Linked DNA regions of Cricetulus griseus. The protein of the gene in region 2 interacts with the protein of the main gene of each other region in a pairwise test. Links are inferred from orthologs where the notes say so. Each region holds a gene or a part of one and is shown on either strand. Other genes may lie near its edges.

Region 1 (3,646 bases), about 170 Mb from region 2:
TTATATGAATATACTGTATTTAATTTTTTTAATTTATCCACCGCCCCCACCCCGTGTACACATGCCGCTGTGTCTGTCTGTCTGTGTGTGTTTATAGAAGTTAGAGGACAACTCTGTAGAACTGACTCTCCTTCCACCTTTATTTACCTGGGTCTGGGGATTGAACTTAGGTTAGTAGACTTGAATGGCAAATGCTTTTACCTGCAGAGCCTCTCTCAGCCCTTGTACTTTAAAATAATGAAAAGCTAGGATTACAGATGCACACACTACCACATCTTGTCTTTATGTAGCTTTGGGCAGTTCATACTCAGGTCCTTATTACATGGCCAGCATTGTACCTACCCACTTAGCCAAGGTCTCCCCAACCCACTTGTGGTGGTTCTTTCTCCCAAGATGGGCCCATCTCTATTGCCCAGGCTGTTCTACCTTCCTGCCTCAGCCACCTGAGTAGCTGGGATTACATGCATTCACTGTTGACTATCATGCTCAGATCTGAGGTTCTCTCTCTCTCTCTCTCTCTCTCTCTCTCTCTCTCTCTCTCTCTCTCTCTCTCTTTCTCTCGTCAGTTTTCTACTGCAAGCTGCTGGGCCTTCGACTGGCATTGTGAGGAATTGATAGACAGGCTCCTTGTAATTGACGCGCACCTCACTGTTGCTCTCATGGATTTGTTAGGCCCTGCTTTGATTGTTTTTGTTCCATTTGGGCATTCACTTTGGCTGTCTTCCAGAGTTGGTTTATCCCTCAGATGCATGGTGTGTCTGTTGTTGTCCCTGCCTTTCCTCTTCACAAGTTCTTTCTACTGGCATCCTTTATGTCTTGTGTTTGTTCTTTGCTTCTGAGTTGAGAATTTGGTTCTGGTACCTGGCCCTCAGCCTGCCTGCCCTTCTGGGCCGCTCAGAGCTGTGTGCTGTCTGCTAATCCTTTCTTCCTCAAGTCTTCACCGTAGAGCTCACCTGTTGGCAGCTGGATGTGTTTGTTTTCCTGAATGTGTTCTGAGCTTTGTTCTAGGATGTAGTGGCTTGGAAATGGATTAATCCTTTCATGGTCTGTCTTTACACTTGGCTCTGCTGTGCTAGAGCAGCGTGTAATCCAGGCTGATTCTGCCAGGCCCCAGACATGCTCTCCCCAAGCCTGTGAGTCTGGCTAGCGGGAACAGGCTTGTTTTCAGACTGTGGCAGGGATATTGTTCCTGCTCTGCCATATGGTCCTTTCCCCTGGCTTCCCCAGCCCTACACTGACCATCCTCAGTAAAGATTCACTCTGGGCCTGAGCTCTGGCTGCCCTTACGTCCCTGTCAATAGACACCTTCTTCCACAGGTCCTGCCATCAAGCTCCATCTGAAGGGGTGAAGGATGTTGCAGGATTCTCCTCATCCTGTCATTTTACTTGGCATTACAGACTTGAAAACTGATGCTTATTATTTTATCATATTTAACATTGTTTGTGTGTATGTGTGTGGACACATACCACATTCATGCCCTGCACATACCATAATACACATATGGAAGTCATAGGACAACTTGGGGAGTCAGTTCTCTCCTGCCACGTGAGTCTTGAGTTTTAGTACAAAGGTTGTCAGGCTTGACGTCACACGCTTTTACCTGCGGAGCCATCTCACCAGCCATGTTGCATCAGACTATTCCTGTGCTTTCCAGTTCTTTTCCTACACAGGAAGTGGAACCTGTCCTTGTGACTGTGTGTCTTCTCAGTTGGAGGTAGATGTCTCCATCAGTGTGTTTGAAAAGCTGTCCAGGGCTGCTCCTGTGCCCTAGGCTGGTAGCTTGGGTGGAGGAAGAGAGTTGGGGCCCAGGTTGGCAGGCCTGGGCTTGAAGATTGTATCACGCTGCTTAGCCATCACACTTTGGGGAAAAGTTCTGAGAAGTCCTTGCCCCAACTCCCAAGTTTATGGGTGTGTCCTAAGCAGCCACAGGTGCTGGACTCTTCAGTACAGTCCCAGAGCCCTGAGTTGGGGGCCAGTTTGGTGTCTGGTTCCCTTTGTGTGTCTTATGGTGGACAGGTAGCATGGGTCAAGTTCTGTGCAGGTAGCAATGTGTTACTTGATCCTTCCCTAGGATCAGGGTGAAAGCAAACAGACAGAAATCACAAATCTGAGCTGCTTTGATTTGTGTAGAATGGATGCTCTGTTAGAGGACTGAGAGCACATGGGCAAGGCCTGGCTACCTTGTGAGGGAATCCAGTCCCCTGCAGGAGTGTTACACTGTGATCCCCAAGTTGCCCTCTGATACATTCCCTGGGTCTACTGGGCTGTGCATCCTCTGGCCCCTTGGGAGGCCTTCTCACAGTGTCTGGGACACGGCCTATGCCTCAGTCTAGACCCTGCTCCATTCTGCCAGTTCCCTATCAGGATGAAAATTGCTTTCTGCATTTTCATGTGTTAGTGTTAGAAACTGCTTCAGCTCAGTAGCATCCCTGTACAATGTAGCTTTGTATGTTTTGCTTATTGTTTTCTTGGACTGAGTTCCCAGACCTATGAAGTCATAAATGAAAGAAAATAGTCCTGTTCTCTTTTAAATCTAGTGAAAACCATCATATTCTTGTTCTTTAGTAACTCTTCTCTTACTATTGTTTCTTACCATGAGCTATGACTCCTATAAAGAGTCAGGCAAGGAAGGCCAAGGAGATAGCTCAGCCTCTCAGTGGGGTATGTAATGGAGGCCAGGCTGGCCAGGGCCCAGTGTGTGACTGGCACGGTGTTGTGGGTGAGGCCAGTACTTGTTGCTCTCACTTTGTAGGTTTTCTTCCTGAGTCCTAGAGTCCCACACCTTGCTCCTCACCCCAGTGTCTGAAGCATGCAGATACATGCATCTCTGTGCCTATGTACCCTGAGATGGCTACTCTAGCTAGTTGTTACTGTGCCCTGTCCTTAGGGCTGGGGGCCCAGCCCTGGTTTGTCCCAGACCAAATGAAGGATGATTTGACATCAGGTAGCAGGATGGAGTGGCTCCTCACCCCTTGCATGTAATGGCTAGCACAATTTTGTAAGCCTGGAATGTATGTTGGGTGTGCTGCTCTAGGGTTGTTTCCCATTAGCTTGGCCAAGCTCACAGTATAGACCATTTGCTTCCTGGTCCTGGGAACTTTCCAACTGGCACACATCATCAGGCCTCAAACTTTGTCCCTTACAAAGGAAATTCCACCTATGTCTGTGACCCTATACTCTTAGTGTTCCTTCCTGTCACTCCACATGATGCTCCTAAGACTAGTTTGGTTTCACTCAATGTAATGAAACGTGAAGCGTGCCTGCTACACACATCTCAATGTGTGTTTTAACATGTGCACAGCATGGAACTGCTTCACAGGTCTATGTTCCTGTGGTCTTAGGCCTCCATTGCTTTGTGGCCCAGGGACACCCATCTCATGAAGGTCTTTTCTGTGCACACAGGCATTTGGACAAGCACACACAAACCACAAAAAGGTGGCTGCTGATGGTGAGAGCCGGGAGGAGAGCCTGATCCAGGAGTCAGCCTCCAAAGAGCAGTACTATGTGAGGAAGGTGCTGGAGCTGCAGACAGAGCTGAAGCAGCTTCGCAATGTCCTCACCAACACTCAGTCTGAGAACGAGCGCCTCACATCCGTGGCCCAAGAGCTAAAAGAGGTAAGTGCATGGACATGGCCTCTTGTCATT
Region 2 (4,236 bases):
GGCTGAAGATACAGCTTAACTTGTATAGTGCTCATTTAGCACCACATAAAACTAAACATAGTGGCAAATACCTGTAATCCCAGCACTTAGGTAGAGGCAGGAGCATCAGATATTCAAGGCAAATCTTGTCTATACAAAGTTCATGACCAGCCTCATTACACAAGACTGCCAAAAAAAGAAATTAATTTCAAAACAGAAAAAAAAAAGAAAGAAAAATGGGTGCAGTGGATCACCCCTGAAATCTCAGCACTCAGAAAGTTGAGGCAGGAGGACTCCAAATTTGAGGCCAGCCTGGGCTAATAAATGTAATTCTACCTTTTAAAAAAAAAAAAAAAGCAACGAAAAAATAAATTAGAAGTCATAAAACTAATATGTGCAACATAAACACTCAAGAAATTCAAAGGAAACCTGCACATAGTTACAAGTTAAGATCTCTCCTCACACTAAAAGCTTCAATAGAAAGATTAATGGATTTTGTGAAAACTAAGTAGTCCTATACACAATATGAGGCAGTCAACCATCTTCCTAGACTGCATAACAAGTACATTCAAACCTATTTATTAATAATGGCCAATGAACTTTATTTTATATATGGGACTGTCTTCAAATTGCCATGTAACACTAACTGGCTCAGGATCAACTTCACAGGTTTCACCAAGTTACTCATCTAAGAAAATGTGTATTTTATTTAAAATTTTTTTATTACTACATTAAATTTTTTTTGTAGGTGGGTGTTCATGGAGATCAGAGGACAACTTCTGAGAGTTGGTTCTCCCCTTCTTTGAATTTAGGACGTCAAGTGTGGTGGTAAGAACCTGTTTTACTCACTGAGCCACCTTGCTGACCTGGACATGTCTATACTTAAATATTCATAAGCAAACAGGAGGGAGACATGATATTTCCATCCTACAAGGTTGCAAGGAAGACAAATCTAAACACACAAGAAAAATTATTTCCCATGTCCAGCTAAAGGCAAAATTAAACCAGTGTTGACTTGATATAAAGTTCCAAATTGGTATAAATAGTTCAAGCTAATAACAAAACCTAAAATATGGAGGGAAAAAGGAAGATTATAATCTGAATTGTTGTTCAGTTTGTATAATACAAAATAAAGCTGTTGGCATATGTAATCTTAATGACAACCATCACAAAATTAGGACCTTGTATCTAATAGGAAGTACAGTGACTGCAGAACCTTGACCAGGTAAATGACTGTACAATTTCATTCACAAGACTCTATGAAATATTAGGCATAAGATAATCAGTTAGCTCAAATGGTATTCAAATCTAATTTAGAGAGCTGGATGATGGCTCTATTACTGACCTACTGCCCAAAGGCAATCCTACAAAACAAAGATGTTTATTATTTTAATTCTTTTCTCACTTGCATCTTAAACATGTAACTGGAAAATACTCAAGAAAAAATGAATGATTAACATTTCACCCCTTAATCCCTGCTTGCATCATAGATACTCAAATGATGTTCCATGTTGAAATGAGAAAAAAAATGGAAGAGAGGTGAGAAAAATTCGAAGTACACTGATCATGACATAGCATCTGGCAGAGATCGAAAAGGCATCAACACTGCCAAAAGAATTATCAATGATGAAAATCAAAAGAAAATAAGGTTTTTCCAACCAGTCCCAACCTAAGGGACAAAAATCGTCACTGCCAATACCACCTCTTTTCAAGTCGCCTCGAGTTGAATATATTAACTCTCTTAACCCTAATTCTTCATTTAGGTGAAAACTGGGTGAGAATTGTGTTTTTCTACGACCACCACTTCCCACCTTCTGGAAGACCTGTACAACTCAGAGCCAAACCTCAGGGGAAAACAACGCCCAAATCCCACCCTCCTTCAGCCAAGGTTGAAGAGGGGCCTGTTCCCAGGAGTGGGGGGCTTCCCGGAATGGGACCTCACTCCCAGTTCCAGTGAGAACCGGAAAAAGGGCTGGGAATAAGGGTGGGGCGCCAGAAAGCCCGTAGGGGTAAAGGAGACCACGGAGAGCCGAGGAAGAAAGGGATGGACAGGAGGCTGGGCGGGGTGAGGACTGGGGAGGACCGAACGGACCGGGGAGGGCCTGGCTGCGGGCGGCCGTGTCCGGACGGCGACCCGGGGTCTAAGCTAAAAGCCCGATAGATGCTAGAGAGGAGCTGGGGGCGAGGAGGAGCTGGGTGAGAGAGCAGCCAGAGGACCCCGGAGAAGAGCTGGAGTGGGGGAGCGAGGCCGGCGGGGAGCCTCAGTGGACAGAAGGGCCGCACTGGGGGTGGTGCGGGGAAGCCGCGGCCCGCTGCCAGGAGCGGGGGAGCCGCGCACTCACCGCTCTGCTCCCCCAGGAACACCAGCTTGAATTTCCTCAGCGGATTCCCGAAGTCTCCGCCCGCGGACATGATGGAGCCGGAGGAGCCGCCGCCGCCGCCTCAGCCCACAGACCTCTCCCAGACCGCTGCAGCTCTAACCGGCTGACGAAGAGGGCCGAGCGGAAGGGCAGCCGCCGAGTCCTCTCGGCCCCTGCAGGGCCGGGCGAAGGGGCGAGGCTGAAGGGAGCGCGAGTCGCCACCGACCGGCGGCCGCCGCCGCCTCCCCGCAGAGTCGCCTAGCACCGTGCGAGGCCCGCGGCCGCGAAGGGACGCAGGGCGGTGTCGGAGGCAGCCAGGGGTGCGCTCGGGCTTCGCAAGCCTAGCGCCGTTCCTTCCTTTAGAACGCGGCGCCGAGACTGAGGCGACAGAGGAGGAAGAGGGTGGCGGGGCGAGCGCCGCAGACGCGTCTGGAACCCAGCACGCGCAGCGCTCGGGCTCCCACAGCAGCCGCCACCACCGCAACCCAACCCGCGGAGTGCGCGAGCCTCTGGCGCGGTGCGGGGCGAGTCCGGGCGCGAGCCTGCCGCTCCGCCGGCCTCGGGTGTGCGTGCGTGCGTGCGTGCGTGCTCGTCACCGCCAGCGCCTTCCTGGTTTCCCAAGCTCTCCCGGCTCCTCCCGTGCAGCGGAGAAAGGGGCCGCGTAGGTTTCGACCAGCGTCTGGAGAAGCCAGAAGGAGGCGGGACCGAGTTCCGGGTAAGTGAGGGGAGTGGGGCGGAGGGGGCGGATGCTTACGTCACTGTCAAGCTGAGCCAATCAGGAAAAGCAGAGAGCAGGCAGAAGGAGAGTGAGGTGGCGGCGCGAGAGCGCGCGCCATCTTCGCGCGGGGTGGGGGGGAGGGGGGGGTGGGGGGAGGGGGCGGGGCGGGAAGGCTGAGGGCCCTGGCGGCCATCGAAAGTGTGGCGCGCGATTGGAGGAGGGAGGAGGGAAAAGAAGGTGGGACGAAGGCGGAGCCGGAACCAAGGTGGGATGACCGCAGCAATGCGTGGGTGGGGTTGGGTTGTGCAAAGGTGTATCAAAGGTGATAAGAAACCTTAAACGTTGCTTCGCCTTCCTCAGTTCTGCCTTTCACCCACTTGCTCTGTCTTTCTAAACGAGCTTCCTTGCTCGGCATCTTCCTACCTACATTTTCCTCCGTTGTTCCGTGGAGTTTCGTAACTACCAGAAGCAGGTCCTCTCCATTTTGTGGGTGAGGAAACTGGAGCCCAGCAGGAGGAAATGACTTGCAAAATCCACATAGCAATGAAACGAAATCCAGGTTGTCTTATTTGAACCTCAGCTACCTCCTTATTGTTAAGCCATCTAATTCCTTGGTTCTCTGTTAGTTGGCCCTTCTTCAAAGGTATCCGTAACATCAGATGATGGTCATCTTCTATGTGATAGAAATGGGTTTAGATGTCATATAAATCGAACCCCTCATATTACAGATTAGAAACGACTGCCCACATAGGGATGCCCCTTTGGAAAAGACCACACAACATAGTAGAGGAGAGCCTCGATAAGATCTCAAATCGGGGAAGGAATGTGGACCGATCCTTTCCCCTGGAAAGCCGGGCCTCGGCATATTCTTGAGTGGGTCTCCCTTAAATTAGCCATTCCAAGCATTTCCATTTTCTTGCAGATTTGTCAACCTGATTCATGATCCAATAAGGTAATGGTGAATGCTATCAGAAAAAATGAACTAAGCATAGTGTGGACAATTACATAATGAATATAATTAAATGTAAGTTTTCGTCTAAATGGGATCACTTGAAAACAGTATCAGACAGAACTAAAATAAATTAAGTAAAGCATGAATTTTAGTTAATATTTTGATACTGATTCATTTGTTATAACAAGCATATCCTATTAATATAAGCTGTTAATAGAGGATCCTGG
Region 3 (3,646 bases), on a different chromosome or scaffold from region 2:
GATCCACAACATCCCCACCCCAAGAAACATTTTCTTTTTGAAACAGTGAAGCCTGGCCTCCAACCTGAGGCTTCCTGTTGGCCTGCCATGAAATGCTTTTGAATGGATGAACAGGCGTTTTATTCCCATGGTATCGCTGTGGAAACCAAGGCTCAGAGTAGTGACTTTCATCCCGGGTCACTTAAGGAGTTGGTCACAGAGTATAGTTTTGATAAGGCTGACTGGTCCTGGGTGTTTCCGAGAGTGGGTAGGTCTTGACGGTGCAACTCCCACAGTGTACAGAGGCCTACAGGGGGCAGTGGACACAGGAATAAGGGACTTTTCCTGTTGGAATAGTTAGGATGATCATGGCCCCTTCCCATGTTCCTCGGGGAGTCCCAGCTCTATTTACCAAGTAAGATTGGAAAGGCAGCTTTACTGACCGGATGGGGATGGCGAACAGGTAATTAACTTGGCCTGGACCAGTAGGGGAGGCTGCGATATGGCTGGCATCCCAGCCCTCTCCCTCATCTCTGGTTCTTTTTCCCCTCCTCTAGGATTGGGATGTGTGGATGTTTCTGAGAACTGTGTTCCTGTACAAAGTCCAAATGGCACAGGCCTGCCTAAACCTCCTGCAGACTCCAGGGAGGGGTGGCAAGGCGCCTTCTTTAGATAAGGACCCTGTCCTCAGGAGCTTAGCTAGGGTCATGAAGCTGGGCACATTAGGGCTGGGCTTGGTATATGAAGCTGTCAGATGACCAGCCATCAGCTAACGGAGGGAAGTGCAGCCCCCAGCCCTGGGCTGTGAGTGAGTGTGAGCACCCACAGTGCTATCTCTTGGCCACACTACCTGCTGGGAAGGTAAAGTCAAGGCCAGCAGGGAGCTCACATCTCTCAGCCTTTTTGCTTGAGGGAGAAGCAGCCGGTGGCCACTGATTACTCCTCTATCATTTAGTTCTGGAAATGGGCTTGGAGAGGTCAGGTAACTTGCCTAGGGCCACAAAGCTAACCAGCATAGCCACCAGGCCTAGAACCCAGTCAGCCTGTAGATCTCAGGGTGGGTCCTGCCTGACCTGACAAGACGCTCTACTCCCATGCCCTCCCCCTTCTTATGCCTCTATACTCCTATTAATGGGTGTCACCGATTTCTGGGTCTAAGCCCCAGCACTGACAACAAGGCAAGGTGACCTTCCACTTCCCCATCTGTAAAGTGGGGGCCGTATTCGCCCAGAAGACCAGGGAGCTGGTGAGGTATGGTTCCAGGTGCGGTATACAGATGGGCCCTCTGAGCCAATATGCACCCTTCTTCCCTGCACAGAAGGAGAAGATCCGGGAGAAGTTTGTGGAAGCCCTGAAGACAGAGTTTGCTGGCAAGGGGCTAAGGTTCTCGCGAGGTATGTCTTTCCTGCGGTGGGCTCAGGCACAGCAACAGACACTATCCAATTTTGCCCTTAGGCAAAATTCACTTCCTTCAATGACCACCTGATGTCCAGTGGTCCCCACCCTTCCCGCACCTAGTTCAACTGGCTTGAATATCAGTCAAGGGCTCTGCAGATCTTTCCAAAGCTGATTCTATTCAACCTCTGGCTCTGGCTGCTCCCCTGAGATGCCTGGGGCATATGGTAATCCCAGCTGCCATCTCGGCTTGTTCCCCAGTAGCCAGAGGGGAGAAAAGGTGCCTCGGTCACTTAGAATCTATAGTTGTGTCACTCTGTTGCTCAGAGCTGTCACCTTGGGTCTCACTGGCCATGCTGGCTGAGTGAGCGCATCTTTGCTCCTGCCTGTTGCCTGCCTGGATGAGACCCTGCAGATCTTGAGTCTGCCCTTGATGGCTCTCAGCGTTGTTGAATGAACTAAGTGCTTTAGAGCCAGGCATGCTGCCACAGGTCTGAAACCCCAGCACTTGAGAGGTAGAACAGGAAGATGGGGAATTCAAGGCCATCCTTGGCTACATAGTACAAAGCCAAACTGGGTACATGAGACTGTCTCAAAAATAAAGCATGTTTTGCCCAAGTTAGCCTTGTGAGCTTCCCTGACAAGCTGCCAGCCCTGTCTGTCCCTCCCAGGATTTTGTCGTAACTCCCCACATCCACAGGAGGCATGATAAGCTTCGATGTCTTCCCGGAAGGCTGGGATAAGCGCTACTGCCTCGACAGTCTCGATGAGGACAGCTTCGACATCATCCACTTCTTTGGCAATGAGACCAGTCCTGTAAGTGTGACCCTACCCAGTTCCCCTCAACCCAAAGCACCTGAGCTCAAGGCCAGGACACAGGGCAATAGAACAAAGACCTCTCAGAGCATCCCAGAAGACTCTCACTGTTCCTACTCTGCAGTTCAGAAGACTAAGACCCAAGAAGGACTAGATGCTTGTTCCAAGTCAGGGCAGGTCTGAGAAGCCAGGAGAGTGGGATTCCTGGCAGGTCTGAGGAGGGGCAAGTCTGCAGGAGCCAGTTTGGGAAGGGTAGCTCTTGGGCCTCAATCCTGGGCACCTCCTGTCCTGTAGGCATCACCTAAGATCATCTCTTCTCTGTCTGTCCTTCCTCTGAATGCAGGGTGGGAATGACTTTGAGATCTATGCGGACCCCCGGACTGTCGGCCATAGTGTGGTCTCCCCTCAGGATACTGTACAACGATGCCGAGAACTTTTTTTCCCAGAGACAGCCCATGAGGCATGACGGTGACCACAGCTAAGCATTGGGACCTTCAAAGAGCTCTGGCTAGGCCTGAAGAGAGAACCATGGAGTGCCAAGGTTCCCATTCCTCTGGACCAGCATGTAGCATCATGTGGGGCACCACGAGGCCCACTCACACAGGACAAGGGTCTGTGGCAACTGTCCCAAGCCAGGTGGCTCCCCATAAATAAGACTTATTCCTGCACTCCACTGATGGCCCCTGGCTTCTGATGCTGCTGGTTTCTGTAACAGAATAGGTTTCACCCAGCTGGGAGATAGTGGTGCATGCCTTTAATCCCAGTACTAGGGAGGCAGAGACGGGTGGATCTGAGTTTGAGGCCAGCCTGGTCTACAAAGCTACACAGAGAAACCCTGTCCTGAAAAACAAACAAACAAAAAAAATAGGTTTCACCCCAGAGGGAGGCATGTGAGTTATGCTATGGACCGTGCTGGCCACAACTGACAAGGGAGGAGTGACAGGGAAGGGGCACCTTCCTGTCACAGATTAAAGGACTGTCACAGATTAAAGTTCCCAAGACAAGGTGTTAGATGTGTCTGAAGCTATGATGGTTCCTGTCACATGCTCTTCGGTCAGGGACAGGGGCTTGCCCCAGGAGGTCTTTGACCCATTGAAGCCTGAACATGACCAACATGCGTGTCCTTCCTCAGCCCCTTACCCAAGGATTCTCACAGACAGGCCACTCAGAGGCAGGGTGGGTCACAGTTGAGTTTATTGCCAGTGTTAGGAGGGGATGGGTAATCCGTGGCTGGGGACTCGATACTGCAGGGCCTGAGAGGAGAGAGGAGGAGGCCTGATGCCCCCTGCTACTCAGGCAGCTTCAAAATGATGCCTGAAGAGGGCCTGCTCACAGGAGGGAGGCCTGGGTGGCCCTGGGGTCCACCTGTACCAACAAGTTCCCTGTCAAGGATCTGCCTGTCTGTCACCCAGTGCTGAGTGATAGGCATATTGGGGACTTGATCTCAGGTCCTCAA

The links.
Region 1: the proteins of Rab6a (region 2) and Bicd2 interact in binary tests that used the Homo sapiens proteins (3 or more experiments, as listed by UniProt). The link is inferred for Cricetulus griseus from reciprocal best matches to the Homo sapiens genes RAB6A and BICD2.
Region 3: the proteins of Rab6a (region 2) and Pmm1 interact in binary tests that used the Homo sapiens proteins (3 or more experiments, as listed by UniProt). The two-hybrid records come from large-scale screens. The link is inferred for Cricetulus griseus from reciprocal best matches to the Homo sapiens genes RAB6A and PMM1.

Annotation. Positions count from the first base shown.
Region 1 is NC_048596.1:269,172,737-269,176,382, forward strand, and holds part of Bicd2 (protein bicaudal D homolog 2), read left to right. Parts: intron 1-3,403; coding exon 3,404-3,616; intron 3,617-3,646. UniProt on the Homo sapiens protein: Acts as an adapter protein linking the dynein motor complex to various cargos and converts dynein from a non-processive to a highly processive motor in the presence of dynactin.
Region 2 is NC_048596.1:98,905,423-98,909,658, forward strand, and holds the start of Rab6a (ras-related protein Rab-6A), read right to left. Parts: upstream 2,824-4,236; 5' UTR 2,392-2,823; coding exon 2,322-2,391; intron 1-2,321. UniProt on the Homo sapiens protein: The small GTPases Rab are key regulators of intracellular membrane trafficking, from the formation of transport vesicles to their fusion with membranes.
Region 3 is NC_048595.1:379,087,627-379,091,272, reverse strand, and holds the end of Pmm1 (phosphomannomutase 1), read left to right. Parts: intron 1-1,297; coding exon 1,298-1,373; intron 1,374-2,074; coding exon 2,075-2,190; intron 2,191-2,533; coding exon 2,534-2,656; 3' UTR 2,657-3,201; downstream 3,202-3,646. UniProt on the Homo sapiens protein: Involved in the synthesis of the GDP-mannose and dolichol-phosphate-mannose required for a number of critical mannosyl transfer reactions. In addition, may be responsible for the degradation of glucose-1,6-bisphosphate in ischemic brain.